4 linked regions of the Drosophila melanogaster genome follow. The protein of the gene in region 3 interacts with the protein of the main gene of each other region in a pairwise test. Each region holds a gene or a part of one and is shown on either strand. Other genes may lie near its edges. The genes, in order: Grx5, CG15370, Mst87F and H2.0.

Evidence for each region.
Region 1: the proteins of Mst87F (region 3) and Grx5 interact in a two-hybrid assay, tested with the Drosophila melanogaster proteins (one large-scale study listed by BioGRID).
Region 2: the proteins of Mst87F (region 3) and CG15370 interact in a two-hybrid assay, tested with the Drosophila melanogaster proteins (one large-scale study listed by BioGRID).
Region 4: the proteins of Mst87F (region 3) and H2.0 interact in a two-hybrid assay, tested with the Drosophila melanogaster proteins (one large-scale study listed by BioGRID).

The regions. Positions count from the first base shown.
Region 1 is NC_004354.4:14,836,941-14,840,229, forward strand, and holds Grx5 (glutaredoxin 5), read right to left. Parts: upstream 1,259-3,289; 5' UTR 1,163-1,258; coding exon 874-1,162; intron 814-873; coding exon 623-813; 3' UTR 531-622; downstream 1-530. Other genes in the region: CG14410 (uncharacterized protein), read left to right, coding at 1-390; CG32590 (uncharacterized protein), read right to left, coding at 1,488-1,821, 1,878-2,095.
Region 2 is NC_004354.4:9,223,819-9,227,211, reverse strand, and holds CG15370 (uncharacterized protein), read right to left. Parts: upstream 1,776-3,393; 5' UTR 1,757-1,775; coding exon 644-1,756; 3' UTR 524-643; downstream 1-523.
Region 3 is NT_033777.3:13,826,637-13,829,888, forward strand, and holds Mst87F (Male-specific RNA 87F), read right to left. Parts: upstream 1,373-3,252; 5' UTR 1,196-1,372; intron 1,051-1,195; exon of another isoform or gene 943-1,050; intron 853-942; 5' UTR 835-852; coding exon 664-834; 3' UTR 515-663; downstream 1-514.
Region 4 is NT_033779.5:6,013,365-6,021,354, forward strand, and holds the start of H2.0 (homeodomain protein 2.0), read right to left. Parts: upstream 6,039-7,990; 5' UTR 5,830-6,038; coding exon 5,313-5,829; intron 733-5,312; coding exon 236-732; intron 134-235; coding exon 1-133. Other genes in the region: CG13996 (uncharacterized protein), read left to right, coding at 7,486-7,800, 7,853-7,990. UniProt on the Drosophila melanogaster protein: May play a role in pattern formation during embryonic and imaginal development. Is not essential for visceral muscle morphogenesis.

The sequences.
Region 1 (3,289 bases), on a different chromosome or scaffold from region 3:
GACAATTCAGAATATTTAAAGATTAATCAGAAAATGCTTCTAAATGAGAACCAAGATATTGAGATGGAAAATCAGGTACCAAAGGATCTGGAAAAGCAAACTGATGAGTATCCCAATGAAGAGCAGTACGTCGGGAATCAGTTGCCACTTAGAAATCCCGCTCAATCGACTCCAACTCGTCCAAGTCGCGTGATTCCACCAATGCCATCGGAGGAAACGATGCGCCACTCCATAGCCGACAACCTGATGGAGATCCTGGTGAATATGACTAATCCGCAGCATCGACAACAGTGCTTTTCCCTCTTGCAGGTGGACGATGCTCTGCAGGCACGCAGTCGAATCCTATGCCTCCTGCAGCAAATCGACGAGAGGCGCAGGACGCGCAACTGAATTCATCCTATAGAATGCTTGCTTACATTATAATGGTACTTTTACAAAGCCTGCTATATCTTAATCACAATCATAAATGAGCGCCTGCGATTATATGCCATTGGCTGCCATTTAAATCACACGGAACAACGCACACCATTGTCGTTATGAGTTAAACATTTAATAATAAAAACGTTGCGTGACTAACAGATTTAGGAAGGGAATTTGATCTTTGGGCGCTCTTTTTGAATCATCACTTAGCCTTGTCGTCCTGCTGCTTAGCCTCCTCCGCTTTCAGCAGCTCCGAAATGATGCCCGCCTTCTTGAGCTCCTCGATGAGATCGCCGCTCTGGTGCATCTGCAGCAGGATGTCGCAACCGCCGACAAATTCGCCATTGATGAACACCTGCGGAATGGTCGGCCAGTCGGTGTAGTCCTTGACACCTGCACGCAAGCAATAAGGTTTAACGCTGGCACGCTAATGCATATGTGGAGCGTACTCACCCTGTCGCAGGGACTCGTTTTGCAGCACATCGTGGGCATCGTACTGGACACCGTGCATCCGCATAATCTGCACCACCGCATTGCTGAAGCCGCAGCGTGGCGCCTGTGGGTTGCCCTTCATGAAGACGACCACCTTGTTGGTGCGCACCAGCTTGTCCATTGTCGCCTTGTCCACTGCCGCGCCGGTGGCCGCATCCGCCGCAAGAAAGCGGGTGAGCAGGGATTGCGGTGCTGTGGTGGCGAGAATCTGGTATCTCGGATGGCGGAGACTCTGGCAAATTCGGTTCATCTTGACGGCAGCGACTTGGTCGAGGTAATAATAATATTAGCAATATTATCTAATAAAACAAGTGCTGTTCAAGTGTCAGCTAAAAAGGTATCGATAGCTCGCTCGAGTGGCGACTGAACGGCCTATCGACTATCGAACGGTTTTCGATTATAAGCATTTCAAGAATTTTCATAATATTTTAATACTTTTTTTTATGCATATTATAGAAACTATAAAGCAGGAGTAGTCAGTTATGATAAAAGTACATGTCTTACAATTAAAATAAATGTATTTTAGAATAATAATGCATACATAGCTATGAGTACAATGCTAGAACCTACTTAATCTAGTGGAGTGTCGTATAGGATCGTTGGAGCTCGCCAGGATTACTGGATGTCGCGGCCTGGGCCTCAGTACGTCCTGTTGCCGTGCCAGGACCTATCATATTCTCCATTCGCTGGCTAGTTTCCCGCATAACGCCACCGAAATCGGGTAAATCCGGGAGATCCAGTGCCAGATGGGCGGAGAATCGCTTGTAGACGGAAGATTTGGTGCTATCCTTCTTCACTTTCTTTCTGCTCTCCTCGTACTTTAGCTGCTGCTTGAGGAATATTGAAGCCTTGATCATTTCCTGGATGTTCTCAAATATGCTCTCCGATTTTTCAATCGTTCGCAGCGCTCTGCGGTTAAATAGATTCAATTATATATTATTTTATTATTTAGTAGTTGATCCTACTGTATGCCGTATTCCATATCATAGCAATGTCCCTGGAGATTATTTTGCAGCTGAAAGACTTCATCGCGTTTCTCGAAAATCGCTGGGGTAACCTTGCGAACGTGCTCCTGCACACGGAAAAACGCCAGCGATGGATCGTTGGCGAATATGTGTATGTTCTCCGATATCTTCTCTGATGTTTTCTTCGCTTTGAATACCAATTCGTTGCCGCGCGACATTGTTAAATTCACTCTCTTGTTTTTGTTTTTTATTTCAGTTTTGTTTACATCCGAGACTCCAGTTGGACTAGTTATCGATAACCAGACTGGCTAATTCTATGCAATACATATCGACTGGACGTGACGAGGGGTGCACAATACTATTGGTTAAATTATTAAGTGTGAAAGCGAATAAAAACATTGATTAAAAACCTAGTGAATTATTCGTTTTAATTTTATTTTCTTGAAATATATTCGAATTGAAACTATAAATAGTTAAAATATCGTCGAGATGTTCGACACATCGCTAACAATCGATAATCTTACTTTTTGAAGCGACAGCATCGATGCAAGCAAACAATCGGCGTTTTTCCATCTCCAGCGTAAAGGGACTCGGTTCTTAAGAACGGTAAAAATTTCGTCAATTGATTCGTTTTAATTGAAAATCAGGAATTAATTTACTGCGTCGACGCGATCAATTAAAGTCGAAATATTTTTTGAATTTTTTTTTTACTGTGCCAGTGAGTGAATGAAAAACTAGTTGGAAGTTGCAGTGGCAGAGCAACAACTACAAAAACGGAAAACAAACTGTGGGATGCTGATAAACTTTTTTCCCGGCTCGCATTTCGATGATTTACGAATAATCTAGTGTAAAGCCGGTTTTTGCTAAACGCGGTCTAAGTCATGAGTTCTAGCTAAAAACAATTGCTAATAAACATTGGTACAGCAACAACAAAGCGGCAATAACAAACTTTGTTTATTTAGAAACTCCAATCAGCCACCCCAATCAGAATGCACGCACACACTAAGGGTTAATTTTCTAGTGTGTATGCGTGTGCGTGTCTGTGTGTGCGGGTTATTTTTGTTGTTTGGTATTTATACACACCGTGTTCTTTTGTTGTTGTTGTGGTTGCTGGGAATTTGTTCTGATTTTTCTCAGTGCAAGAATGATGAGCTCATTGATAAGACGCGCCCCATCTCTCGCTCTCCTTCTAACGTACTCGCTCTCTCCTTCTCTCTCTCCCCCTCACACACACACACATACACACACGCACACATGGCTGCTTACGTCATGCCGCACCCCCTTGCTCTACTTTTTATTCGCAACTTATTTGTGTTTTATTAGAACTTTGATAGAGAGCTGCTCACAAAAGTCCCCCAGCAGCGCCATAAAACTAATAAAAATCACCAGCACAGTTTACAATTTTCAAGTGG
Region 2 (3,393 bases), on a different chromosome or scaffold from region 3:
AACTGAGAAATCCATTAGCCTAACTGACTTCCTCAAAAACACTGAGAACAGTAGTCCATGTATGAATGTACCAAACACGATTTCCGTATTTGAAATAATAATAAATAATCAGAATGTAAATATATTATACGTTTTATAGATAGAATCAAGACTTAGGATAATTGCACTAAGTAGTATACTTAAATTCCCATTGCCAAGTGAACCGGTTGGTATCCAAAGTTGAAGTCAATAACAAAAATGAGTGCATTTTACTCTTGCACCATTAGAATATTAGATTTTAGTGTTTAAATAAACTAATTTGAGAATTCAAGATCATAATATGCATACTAATTAGACAGTCTCTTTTTTTTATTACTTCAACTATTCAAATTTGCGTTTTTATTACATTATAATTTTCAAGTGGTCTTGGTGCTTTCCAACTGCTAGGATTGAGTTGAAACAAATAAATAAATAAACAAATAAGTTAACCTTTTGTTTATTACTTCTAACAACTTGATTCCTAGAAATTGAATAACATTTCTTTAAGTGTTTACAAACATTTATTTATTTATCGCTTAAATCTGAAAACTGACTATCGACTTACGAAGCTAGGAAAAAAAAAGTGCAATAAATAGATCTTAGATTAGACGGGGTGTTGGAACGCCTACAGATAGGGCCCACCACTGTACTGGTGATAGCTACTGGATCCATAGCCCTGAACATGACCCACGTTGTAGCTATCGACGCCACTGTATGTTTCGGACGCGGCACTGTTGAATCCCTTGGACTCGGGCCAATCCACCAGGGATTGCGATGGCCGGCGACGCCTTGTGGCCGTAAGCGGTGGTCCATAGGTGTCCGCCGGTTCCTCCTCGCCGTACGGGTCACTGGATGGCACCTGGACGGATGGCCGGAAGTCAGTGCTACTTCCGGCCGAGGGTCGCGAGTAATCGTATCCGAAGGAGGATTCCTGCGGAGCTTCGAGAGTGTACGCTGGCGCTCTGGTTTGCTTGGAGCTCCGCTGGGCCTGACCGTGGCTGGGCGGGATGTAGGCGTGACTGTGTGGCGAATACTTATAGCCCGTATCCGGCTCCTGGTCGATGTGCTCCTCCACTGGTGCGGGTTCCGCATAGGCGCCAGTCTGATGATGATGATGATGATGATGATTTCCCCCGCTCGGATAGTGATATCCATAATCGTCGTCCACCTCCTCCTCCTCAACCGGATGGTGAGTATGAGTGTGATGATGGTGCTGCTGCTTGGGTCGCGATTCAATCACTCGATAAGTCTCCACACTGGGCTCATGGTGATCCTCGTAGTCGTAGCCATGTGGTCTGTGCTGCTCCTCAATGATCGTATAAGTGTTGACCTTCTTCTTGGGCGGCGGCGGCGGCGGAGGAGCTGCCTTTTTGGCATACGTCTCCGTGAGGTGGTCGGCCAGCTCCTTGGCGTGATTCAGATAGTCCGCATGCTCGCTCATGTGCAGCGGCTTGTCCAGATCCGAGAGGATTACGCTCTCCAGCAGTGGACTGGGCTTGGGACGGGCTCGTCCCCGATTGCGGTATAACTGATGCGGATGCGGATGGTGGTGGTAGTGGTGGATCACCTTGTGTGGCGACTCCTCCGCCGCTGACTCCTCTTTGGGCACATGCACCTTGATGTGGACATACTCGTTGCCGAAGCCCGCGACCAACGGTATTAACAGCACCAAGATCACAGGCACCAGCAGGTGGGAACGGCCGCTAATCCATGCCATGTCGTCGCGTCGAGTGGTCATCACCTTATGGTCGCCGCCTTGCCAAAATTGGTTTAAACCGAAGTCTTTCTTTTGTCAAAATTTATATACAACAGCCAATGCTGGCGACGACAAGCATCTTGACCTACGGAGCCCTCGGGTGAAATGGATGACACCTTGCCCTGCGCCGACCTTCAAATGCCCTTTGTGCGTGTATACCTTTCTTTTAGCAAATTAATAATGGATTTCTTTTTGCCATTATTACCTTATTCATTATGTTACTAATATTTTTATTCTCCGATTAATTTGTTAATCTTTAAAGAACTTGCATACAAGCTATCTGCATGAGTTCTTGTAAATTGATAAAATTAATATAAAGTTTCCATTCTGTTACGCAGCGTGGAATCTCCCACTCTGCATCATGCGTTTCTTTCTAAAAAAAATTAATAAATATCTTCGAATTTTTATCAGTTTCTGACGTCTCTGCACTGGACCCTAGTACTGATATCCTAAAGAAAAGAGTGATCATAATATTCCATATTTTTATATAATTATTAACAATAATGCCTTATATAATAAGGATATCATAATGTATGATATAAAAAGGATTATTAATTCGCGAATGTATGAGTAATACTTTGTAGTTCTAGGTTTTTCGATGGAGCGCTGCCAACGGTGTCATAAAACCGAGATGCTCCAAAACGCAGGTGAGTGTAGGGTGTTTGGGGGCAACTGTAAAATGTCATTTTCTTGCAATCACCGTTCGACGGAATCTCACTATCCCGCTCTATCCACACTAGCCCCCCTCCTCGCCCTTTCTCCATCGCACCGAAACTAGCGGTTGTTTTATTTGTTTTAACTTTTGTTTTCATTATTATTGAAATGCGATGCATACATTTTTCTAGCCGCCAGCCAGACGACAACAACGAACGAAAGTTAATACAAATTGAATAATGAAAGCGACCTGATCTGTTCGCAGCTATCGAAATTATCGGGGAAATTACCGTGTTCATTCATACCTAATCGATATTCTCACTTATATAATATCGGCGCATATCGCCAATACTAATTTTCAGTTTCGCGCTACGAAATTAATAAAAAACATTTAATTGTGATGCTAATAGGGGGAAAAAAAATAAACTGAGAAAGTTGCTCTGCGACATCATTATCACGATCATCATTTTCAGTATCATTATCATCGCGATTGTAGGCCACTTGGAAATCTCTCTTTCTCTCTCAGATGGCAAACAAAATACAACGAAAAACAATACAATTAATATGCAAGTGGCATCTGGATTGATTGCTTAAATATTTATTTATTCGCATTTAATTTGCGAAGTCTGAAAATTTAGAACTGAAAACCAAACCCAATCTATAATTCGCTAATGAATATTATGTATGTTCGCGGTTCTCACGCTTTTCATTTGGCGTGAAAATTAAGCAGAAAATCGGGGAATGCAAAATCCAACCCAGTTAAAAAGGCAATAAATGGAAAGAAAAGAAAACGGCGAAACAATCGAAAACGTGTTTATATGGTCGGCAAACAAAAGCGAAAATATTCATGGTCAGTTTGTTGGTCGAAAGAGGGGGTAGCATCGGGGTATGCCGGATATTTCCAGCACTCATATTACGTATACGCAAAGAAAAGGGGTAACACAATGAGGCAAAAAGCGTTCCAT
Region 3 (3,252 bases):
AATATGGCCAAAAAGGGGTGGGGGGGGGGGGGCGGTCATCTCCAGGGGGATCGGATCGGCGACTGGAGACGGCGGCATTCGGGTAAATTTAAATATATTTTTTATATGCACTTTGTTGACTTTTTGCGCTTCGCCGTCGTTTAATACCGCTCGGAATTCAGGAATCGGAATCCGCTGTGCCGAAACTAGTTCGTCGCAGAATTAGTGCAGTAAATATACACAAAAGTAAAATAAAAATAAAAATAAAAACAAAAACACAAGAACATGCATGACTGTGTGCGGGTTAAATATGTATGTACCTGCTTAAATAAGTTTTATTTAGCGTGTTCTATTGAAAGGACAATAAACTCTCGGCGAAACGTCAAGGTCGACCACATCGCATTAGAAGACTGCGGATCGATTCTAATTCAGGTCGCATTTGCGTCTAAACATCTGTATCTGTGTTCTAAAATCAGATATTTGGCTAAGCAAATTGCATTTGACTATTATCACTAATCAAAAACCAAACCTTCTTGAAGCTTACACCTCATATTTATTGTCTCAAATACCTATATTTGTGGTTCACGAATATTAGATGAATACGAGGATGAAATAGGGATAGGTTCTATCCTATCGTCTTGGTGTTCTGGTGAACCCTTCTTGGACATGGCCAGTTGCAACTGTCTAGCAGCAAGGGTATCCACAATAGCAGCCGCCACAGGGTCCACAGGCATAGCATGGTCCGCAGACATTCGGTCCATAGCAGGGTCCACATCCTCCTCCGCATGGTCCGCATGGACCACAGCAGGGTCCGCAGCAAGGTCCGCAGCAGGGTCCACAGGGTCCGCAGCACATGATTAATTCGTAAAAGTTCTGAAGGGAGAAAAGGTACGTTTAAATGATATGCCATAGGAATTTTTTACACATTTTCATTTTTGTAAATTTTCACTTATTTTCACTCACTTTGAACCGAACAAAAAGAAATAATTTGAGACTAGACGACAAATTTTGATGTGTTCAGGCCGAAAGGACAAATAATAATGATACAAAATCTGGTTACGCACAGGTATATCGGTTTGACAAGTCGGACTGAAGAGGCAAAGGATACTATATAAAATATTTTGTTTAAAGCATTGGCTAAAGCTTATAATGATTGTATTGTAAGTAGGGAAATGCTCAATCTTCATGTGAATTAACCTTTATATTTCGATCCTACCTATGTAGTTATCATCCAACTTGGTAGGAACGCATCAAGTTGCCACTATTTTTCCAGTGCACTGTAACATATAAACGAGGTAAATGAGATTTAAATTTTTGTTTTGTCGGATCATGTGTTCATTGCACCCGGCTGAAGTTCGAATCGCTGCCGGTTCTCAAGTCGAGTTCTGCGCTGCACTTTTGTTTACTCTTGATTTTGTCGTACTTTTTGATTAAGTGCATGGCGCATAGCCGATTGCCGATTGCCGAGAATCCGGGTATCGGGGCTGAACGGGTATACTATATATGCAAGTGTATATTAAGTTCATTATCTGACCGAAGACTTGTGTTGCTTATGTTTTTTATTTTGTTTTTTCTTGGTTTTTTTCCCCAGCCGAATCGAGCCAAGAATGTCGTCGCATTGAAAGAGGTCAATCACCAGCGATTGCGCCTTGGATGTCACTCGGTGTAATTGAGCGCAATTTATTTCATTTGCTAACGATTTTACGATTTCGGATTTAATTAACTCCCGAAAAGCAGGAAGCCTAGTGGACCAGTTGACAGAGCTCGCCAGCCTCCAAAATGGAACCCTAGTGTTATACACAATGATTATACAATGATTTGTATTTGTGCATGACTGAGTCAGCCGGAGCATTCGGGCAGAAAAGTATGGGTTGCAAATAAAAAGCGCATAATAGGCGTTTAAATGCAATTTTCTTCGCAAAATGGTCGGGCGAAATATCAAAAATTCGAATTATATGTTTTGCCGCATGTTGATTAGAATGTATGTATGTATTTGTGTGTGTGTCGATCAGCAGAGGCAGAAACCGAAGCAAAAACCCCGTCGTCAAACCGCACAGAAGTCCTCTCCCTTCTAGCAGAAATATTTGGGTAGAATCTCGCATCCGAGGAGACGGACAAGTCCAACTCAAAGTCGTTCTGTTTCGGCACGGTGAAAAATCACTATCATAGAAAAAATATATAGCGTAGTGACGAAAGGCGTCTCAAAGAAATGTGAACAAGAGTAGAGTAAGATATATTAAATACAAATCTAGCTTATATTACAAAGTGTCTAATATAAAGTGAATCAAACTTAGTTACATAAATCTAGTAGCGAACTTAGTGACGAAGCGCGTCTCAATCGAATCGGAAAGCGGTAGCAGATTTTAAATAATTATTTTCTTACCACCTAAATGTGGTTAAATGACTTTCATTGAATTTTTCTCTCTGTGGCTCTCTGGTTTTTTTTTTTCAAACTCGAGATGGATGGAACTCTGGTCAATAATTTTGTGAGGGTGCCGCCAAAAGGGCAGCAGACGCTGCTCTAACTTAGTTTTTTCGTTCATATTTGTGGCTGGCCTTTGTTTGAAATAGATTATTGGCAATACATATGTATACAAATATTTTGTATTTCGTCTGGCGACGGGAGTTCAAGGATTTTTATTGGGTTCAGTGAACCAAATGTCTTTCCTCCGGCCGGAAATATCGAATTCGCTTTAATTATGGCCCCTCGCATCAACTTATTAATATAAGTTTGATGAAAAGTGAAACACAATGGGCACACGCAGATGTCATCATCATCGGCTGGAAAGCGCTGAGTACTGCCAGTCAGCCCAGGGAAATCAATATCCGCCTATCCCTAAGTGTGCGCCATAATGACTTTAGGGGCGTGGCCGTCAATGGGGCCAAAGGTGAGGAGCGACCGAAAGGGTAAACGGCGGATTCAGGTAACCCGAGAAGCCGACGAAAGTGAAGAAAGCACGTGCCGCCCCCTAAAAAGTGGCAGCTGATCGCTAAAAAGGAAAAGTAAGGCGCAGTTCTGAAAGTCGGATATATGTACATACATACATAGTACTCTGATGTTAACTTAAATATTATTTAGATGTCTAAATCAAAGTTGAAGAATGCTGCAGCTCGTTTTCTTGCCGATCAATTTGAAGGTGCACAGAGGAAACCTGAGAATCCAATGGAAAGTGGTAATGGTAGTTCTGGGCACGTGCCGCCCCCCGAAAAAGGATTCAGCTGCCTTGAAAAAGGAAAGTGAACGCATCGTGTCGCCATAGCGATGCGATACGA
Region 4 (7,990 bases), on a different chromosome or scaffold from region 3:
CACCGGATGGCGTGGATGTCTTGAAGACACCTCCGGATTCGGGTACTGCACTCGGCTGCTTCTCCTGGCCACTCTTCAGATTCTCGCGCGTGTGCCGCCACTTCATGCGACGGTTCTGGAACCACACCTTGACCTAATCAGGGTATAAAAATAATAATATATTGGTTTTTATAGAGCTATGAAAGGAGTCGAATGTGCAAATGTTAAACTATGAAAATCCCATCTTTTAACTAACCTGAGCGTCGGTGAGATTCAGTCGTGCCGCCAGCTTGCGGCGATCTGGCTTGGTGATGTACTTCTGCTGCTGGAACTGAATCTCCAGGCCCTTGCGCTGCAGATTCGAGAAGACGGCGCGAGACCAGGATCGCTTGCGCTTCCCATTGCTTCCGGCTGAGGCGTTGCCCTGGCCATTGCCACCTCCATGTCCATGTGCACCGTTCTGGGATGTGGCAGCGGCGGCGGCGGCGGGCGAGGTGGGCGCTATGTCCAGGAGCTGCTGCGGCGTCTTGCCCAGAAATCGCTGCTGCTGTTGCGTCAGCTGGAGGCTCGTGAGGCTGTGGAGCGGCGCCAGTAGCGCCGAGGCTGTCGTCGAGTTGTGTGGCGGGGGCTTGTGCTGCTGATGGAGGTGTTTGGGATGGTGCTGATGATGATGATGCTGCTGGTGCTGCTGCTTCTGATGTTGATGGAAGCGGAGGAGCGCATTGGTAGCCAGCGTGGGATAAGTGGGTGCGGCTGTTCGGGAATGGAATGTTAAAGTCAATTGGGAGATTCATACTTCCTTCATTAGCAATAACTCTTAATTTGTTGCTATACTGAATCCGGTGCGTTTTTTACGCACCAATTTGGATATTTATTTTTATAGGAAAACTACCATTAGTTATGGACAACATCCTCCCTTGGTAGCACATTGCATCCGCAGGAAATAATACATTTATCGCCGGCCAAAGAAATGATACTTGTTTCGCCAAAGAAAATATGAAATTCAATTTTTTGTGTTTTCTGAGTAAATTATTTTGATCAATAAAATGCATGTTGAGAATTTTTAAATGGGCTTGTTTATAATAAAATTTTCACTTAATTGGAAATTATCATTGAAGCGTTTTGTGGCTAGGGGGGGCAAACGAAATTTGTTTACTTCTAGCGCGAATCTAAACAACAACAATTACCTCTAGAGATCCAAAATTATTTGGGGTAATCGAACACGACATGGGGCACACGAGGTTGAGGTCGAACCAGGGTGCTTTACTTCCCTTAAATGTTTTTTAAATATCCAAGAATTTATACACGCAGTAAGAAACAATTCGAATGACGTTGACTTTCCTATTGTATTTCCAATCATTATTGGCATTTACTATCCTTTATCTAACTACTGAGTTTCAATCAAGATCATTACGGCATTTATCAACTCAAAGGACTCCGCTGAAAAGTATGCTACAAAAAGTTCCTTTGAATCCTCAGTTCACGATAATGTTCACTAATGTTGATATGAAATGTAATCCTGATGTTGTTAAAAGGCCACAATTTTAATTCCTATCCTTGACTTTTTCATTGAATTTTATTTGATTTCAAACTGCAAACCATTCCTCTTTGTTTGTAGCCAACGCTAAATTATCATAGGTATTTTTTATTGCCTTTTTAACGTTGTGCTATGTGGAATTCGATTTGTTTGTGTGCTCGCGGCATGCGCCTAATTGTTTTCGAGATCGAGCGTTTTATTTACTTAAGCAACACACTACTCGATCGATTGTGTGTATTTACACTGCAGCGGAAATGCGCTTCTGCACTTGTGGATACAATTGTATCTCAATCCGTGCGCTTGTGTATCTGCATCGGGAACGCCAATGGAATCTCAGCACATCTGCAGGGGCTAATAACGCCTTAATTGGCCGTTTTGGCATTTGGCTTGTGTCAACCATCGGGGGTTTGTTATAATGAGTTTTCACCGACTTTCAACACCTTGGATGTTGGCCGGGGCATTGGGGTTCACTCACAGCGCGAGATCATTAATTGCCGACTTTCCCGTTCAGATACATTTACAAAATACCGCCAGCGGACCCGTAAATATCTTAATGAGTTGTGATAATTTTTCGGATGCCATCTTAAATCACTCAAGGGTCTGGGTTGCAGATGCATCTCCAGTAGGATGTGTTTGCGAATCGTACATTTCGCAGCCATATTTAAGTTGCATCGATTTATTAGCACGATGCATTCCACATTTACGACTTGGCGAATATTGTGGCTTATTTCGCGGTAAATTGCGAATGATCTTTTGGGGTTAAGCAGAGCACTCCCAGTGGGCCATGTGCTATGGAAATTTCGACTACCAGCTCGACAAGCGGAGTATGTGTTTATTTGATTGATTTTAATATATTATACATATGTATCTACTTCCGAACATCCGAATCTCTGACTTTTACCAGCTAACTATGCACTAAGATATATTATCTGCATTATGTACTTTCAAAATATTTAAGTGAAATCAAAAGTATAGCTAATATTTCAATTGTATATTTCGTGAAATATCTTTAGCTACTTGGGATTGTCGTCAATTTTCACTCAATTCATTATAGTTAATCCTATAGTTGTGGTATCTACATACATATATCAGTCCCGTTAATTTGAGTTGAGTGCGTGGTAATTATTATTGCTACAACCCTCCCCTGCTGTTGGGAACTTGAGAAAGAGTCTTCAAAGTTCCAAAAGAAATCGTCTGAGGGCCATCATTAATCAGGGATCTTCGAACGCTTTGAAAGTGCATCTATCAGTTGGATTAACATATAAATTGCTAATTAATTAGACCCACGGCGCCGGATTATTGTTCAGACAGAATTTCCATATCAGACAATGGTCTGTAGCATCCAATCGATCGATGGATGGATCGATTGATCGGCAGCCAGAAGAGCAACAACAACAGATCAACAAACTACTCATCGCCAGGCGGGACAGGCAAACAGCAACAAATAGTCGACGGAGGAGCCGCAGAGATCTCGCTGGTCCATGATTTTATGATGTGCGATGCGATGCAATCAATCCATCACGGAATAATTCCGCAGGGGCCGGCAGGTTGGACACGGCGGGCAGCCACAGGGTAGCCTCCTCCTGAAAAGGCCACCACAGTGGGTGGTTGTGTAAATACTTGGCCTTTTGGCTCGGCCCCCAAAGAACAGCGCATAGTTTCACCCGTGCCCGTGCCCGTACCCATACCCGGTACAGTCATCCATCGGTCAGCAGTTCCCTGTCGTTGGCCTAAACGGCAGCCGAGCCTCATTGGAGTCGGTTGAGCCGCAGTAGTTGGAACCGTGGCGCCCAATCTATCAGAGATCCGCGTCTCTAGCCGGGCCAAAGATGCCTCCACCTGTCGAACTCCTCGGCCGGCGGAACAATTCATTAGAGAGCGGGCAATTAGATGGATAGCTATCTGTATCTGCCCATGAATGACGGGCCAATTGCCCAAGCAAATAAACAAACTGTTCGCCACAAACGTTTTCCACGATCCGTGTGAGCTTGAAGTTTATTTTTAAAGACTGACTCGTAATTTGTTCATAAATTGTTCTTAATTTTCCACTTTGGTCTTTGGCATCTCATCTATTTGCGGTGCCCAAAGGATTGATGAAGCCTTTCAGGTGCTGTCTGTTCTTCGTTTTTTTTTTACCGATCTTTTGTTGATTGAGCTATGTCGAATTTATTCGCCTTACTAATTGCTCCTCCCATTTTTGGCTGAGCAAATGTGTTTGAAAACCACTTAGCACTGATGATAATTTTCATTAATGTTCCATCATTGTGTGAAGTGTAATTTATTTAAGTTTGGCGCTAATTTTGCTACATAATTTAATCGTGTGCTGGAATTTGGCGGAATTTAAAGGGCTATTAGTATCGAATTTACGTTGGATGAATCAACCAAAGTCTTTTTTGAATATGTTTTAGTCGGCTGTTAAAAAATTGTATTTTGCTACTTGTAACTAGGTCTAAACTATAGTAAGCTTTAAGTTAAGCTCGCTAATACCATTTACACATCATTTTAGTATAGCTCCACATATTTGCGGGTCTCTTATTTTGAAATAAATTAATATCTCAGACATTTCCTAATCAATTTATCCATTGAGGAATCCCAAACCAAATATGTATCTCATTTATCCGCAAAAGATCTTTAAGATCGTTTAAGGCCCTCGCATTGTTAGCACCCACTTGATAAGAATTGTGTACAATATTGAATGGGAAAAGGCTGTGCTGACGATATGTATAAAACTCAAGCAGCTTGTTAAACAATGAACAATTTCTATTCGAAAAGCGAAACATTTACCGATTATGTTGCTCTCACTATTTCCATTTCCATTTCCATTTTCACATAAACAAGATCAAAGTGCGCTGGCAGCCTGCAGGCTTTATAAGAAGTCTTCGTCCCCAGATATACAAAAACAGCAGGAAGTACGGCAAATACCCAAAACAATCCGGACTATTTTGTTGTCGATTTCAAAAATCGAATTGTTTTCGTCAAGAGCCAAAGGCGCGGAACATTTGGCCGCAGGAATATTGCACAATATGGCTGCAGATCAACTAATAATTCAAATAAAAACGTGAAATTTATTGGGGCTGCGCCTTAGGTTCTCACTCTTTGTGTTTCCAGGAATGTTCATTTCCCATTTGGCTAAATTCCATTTCACGATTTTCTCTGCAAATCTCAACATGGCTAATAATTATAGTCCATAATTGAAAAACAGAGCGAAATAGCTAAGGAATTTTGATGGGCAAATGGCGAAGCCACCTCATCAACTCGTTTGATCGTTCCCTGAGATCCTGCATATTTCCATGGAAAGAATGCAGAATGATTGACAAATCGCAATATCTGATTAGCTTTGATCAGTTTTATTGGCGCTGCAAGTGCACACAACATACGGGGAGATTGAAATAGTGCAGATGATAGATCGTATCTACAAGATAGAGTCATGGGTATAAAATATTATTTTGATAAGTGGTACGTTGTTGGAACTAGAAGAGGTTCACTGCGAACGAATGATGTTTCAATAGCTTTCTGTATGGAGCTGATTCCTTTTAAGTTTAAAAGTATCTTAAAAATACACTTAGGTACCTATAATCCATGTAATACGGATCAGTACCAATATAGTTCATATTAATTTAAGGCATCCCTTACAGAGATTAAATGTTTTCCTTCTATCAACTCGGTTTGCTCATGATGTTCCAAATGCCGTGCACTTAATGGTAATTTTGAATGATTTACTTTCAAATGGACATTTTTTTTGTAAAACCTGCTCGGATTCAAAGGATGTTCCCTTTTGAGTATAGTGCATCCTTACCGTGTTCTGCTGCCCGAATTGGCGTCGGTCTGAGCACTGATTTGTAATCCATATAGGGGCCAGGGAACAGCTTATCCAGACCCACGAAGGGGTACGTGTGCGATGAAGTGGGTGTGAAAGTGGGCGGAAGCGTGGCATGTCCAAACCTACGGGATTCGGCATTCGCCTGGCTGAAGCAGTGGGGGAAGGAGCAGCAGGCTAGAATGCTGCCATCGCAGCATGACTTGGTCGAGGGCGAGGAGGAGCTCTGCCGGTGGGATTCCTCGGGTTCCGAGCCCAACAGACGATCCACACTGAAGCTCAGCTTGACTTTGGTGGTGCTCGTGGCGCTGGTTGGCGACGTACTGACTATGGTAGTCGAGGCACAGGATTCTTTGGTGGGCAGCTCATGATCGACATTCACTGGATCGGGACACTTTGCCAGCGTTGGATTCACTTCACACTCGCCGTACATGTGAGTGCTGAGGTTCTCGGGCATACTCTGTTCCATGCTGGCGGCACTCTCGTGTAGTAACATTGTCCGGATATGTGTTGTATATGGTTTCTATCTACGAATCTCGACACAGGACACTCAAAACTGATTTCACACGTTCACAATCGATAGGGACTATCTATCATGTCCAAAACACCGTCGCTGTGCACCAATAAAACGATCGCGAATTTTGGCTTAGGTCTCGTGCACCTCCGATTAAACCGCCTTGCAAGACATCCCACTCAGAACTGATCGGAACCGGCCAGGGAGCACGCTCAACCAGCCATCGATTGCCGATCGGCCAGCCAACGCGGAACAGTCTGTTGGCGGTGGGGTTAATCTCGCTGAGATTGTGTATTCCTGGTGCTGACAGTGGGGCAAGGAGTGCGAGATGATCAGGATATAATGCTAACAATAAATAATGGCTATATGTTCGATATACAGGATATACAAACCAGGATATTTTTTTATCCAACGTGTATATTGTTTATAAAGTAATACTCAAGAAGAGTAATACTATCAAGAAAGATTAGATTTTTGGGCTTCGGTTGGTGGTAACATTGGTTTCTATTCCGCTGAAGATCTATATACCTCTAGAAAGTGCCCTAAAATTATGTTAATCCACTTACCATAGACCTGATCCCACTGTAGCCACACACAGATGGGATACCTTGCCATGCCGATCGCTTGTTTACACACAAGCATGCCGCTGTGTCATTAGCTCAGTCGGAGATCGTTTCCTCGAGCGCAGCCGAGATTTGTTTACCGATTTCTCCATATGTTCCCGTACTCCCACACACAGACACACACACCCCATCCGAATTCCGGTTTCCCTGCGCAGAGGCCATGTCGAGTGGCTCGTGGTTCGTGATTTCTGGCCAATGCGATCGATCCGCAGTGGTGGGCGGAGCCACTGGTGGCGCTGATGCGGCATCTCGCTTTCGCGCCCAAGGAATGTGCCTTCCATTGGCTTGGGATTGAGCGATCTGCGCGAACTCCACCTGCTCCACGCTGTCTGGGTTCAATGAAGTGGGTAACCGGGACTGGTGGTCATAAATCAGAAACCGCATTCCACAAGCGGAAATCCGCAAAACGGAACACGAACGGATCGTCGGGGTTGGAAAACTTAAGTAGAAATGTGTAAATTGCGGAGCGAAACTGGCGTTATTAATAGGAAAATTGTCGTGACTACCTTAAGATAGCATACTTTCCGGCACAAAACTCCCATCCAAGCGGGCGGATTTGGTGCCAAAAACACCCTAGCACCACAAGCCCACAAAGTGACCCAGAAAATGTGGAATATGCAAATGCAATGGCAGCGGAAAATCCATCGCCAGTCGGTGACACTTTTATCCTCTTCAAAGTGAAGTCCGATTAATAATAAAATAATCCTTTTTACTTAAAAAAAAAGATTCAGATACATTCCAGGATATGCCGAACGTTCAAAGATACTGATTGGAAAGAGCATGGCTTAAATTCCATTAACCCATTTAAAGTGCAAATTGAGCCTTAGTGATTGTAGCCAACAACTTTTCCCGGAAAATTATAGGGCATACAACAAATGAAAGCGAAACGCAATCAAACTATGTAAACAGACACGAACGCCACTTATTCTTGAGGAATCGCTGGAAACCGCAACCAAATCGTTGCGGGGCAACTCAATTCACTTTGGCCCAGGAACAGTGCGCTGCCACCACTCGAATGGAGTCGTTCTCAGCGTCCAGGTGCTCCACCATACCGTCACCACTGCCGCACAGTGCCAGTGGCATGGACAGTCCGGATATCTGTGAGCCGCCGCAGGATGAGCAGGAGTTCTGCTTTCGCTATCCCAGCTACATGTTTCCGGACGTGGAGTACGACAAGGAGGATGTGCCGCTACCCTTCAAGGCCTCGCCGGACTCGCTCTTCAATCTCTGCGCCGCCGTCGTGGATTCCCAAGCCCGCACTGAGGTCTTCAAGTGGAGCATCAACGATGTGACCGACTGGCTGCGCAACTTTGGTTATCCCGAGTACGAGGTGGGCTAAGATTCTTACTCACTATGTTGGGTAACCTATAGCTTCGTTACAGCAAACTTTTCGGGAGAACTACATTGATGGACACAAGCTGCTGAATCTGGACGCAGTTGCTCTGGTTGCGCTCAACGTTCGCAACTTCGAGCACATCCGCCACCTGGGCCGCGGCATACGAGCGCTTTACAGGAAGGAG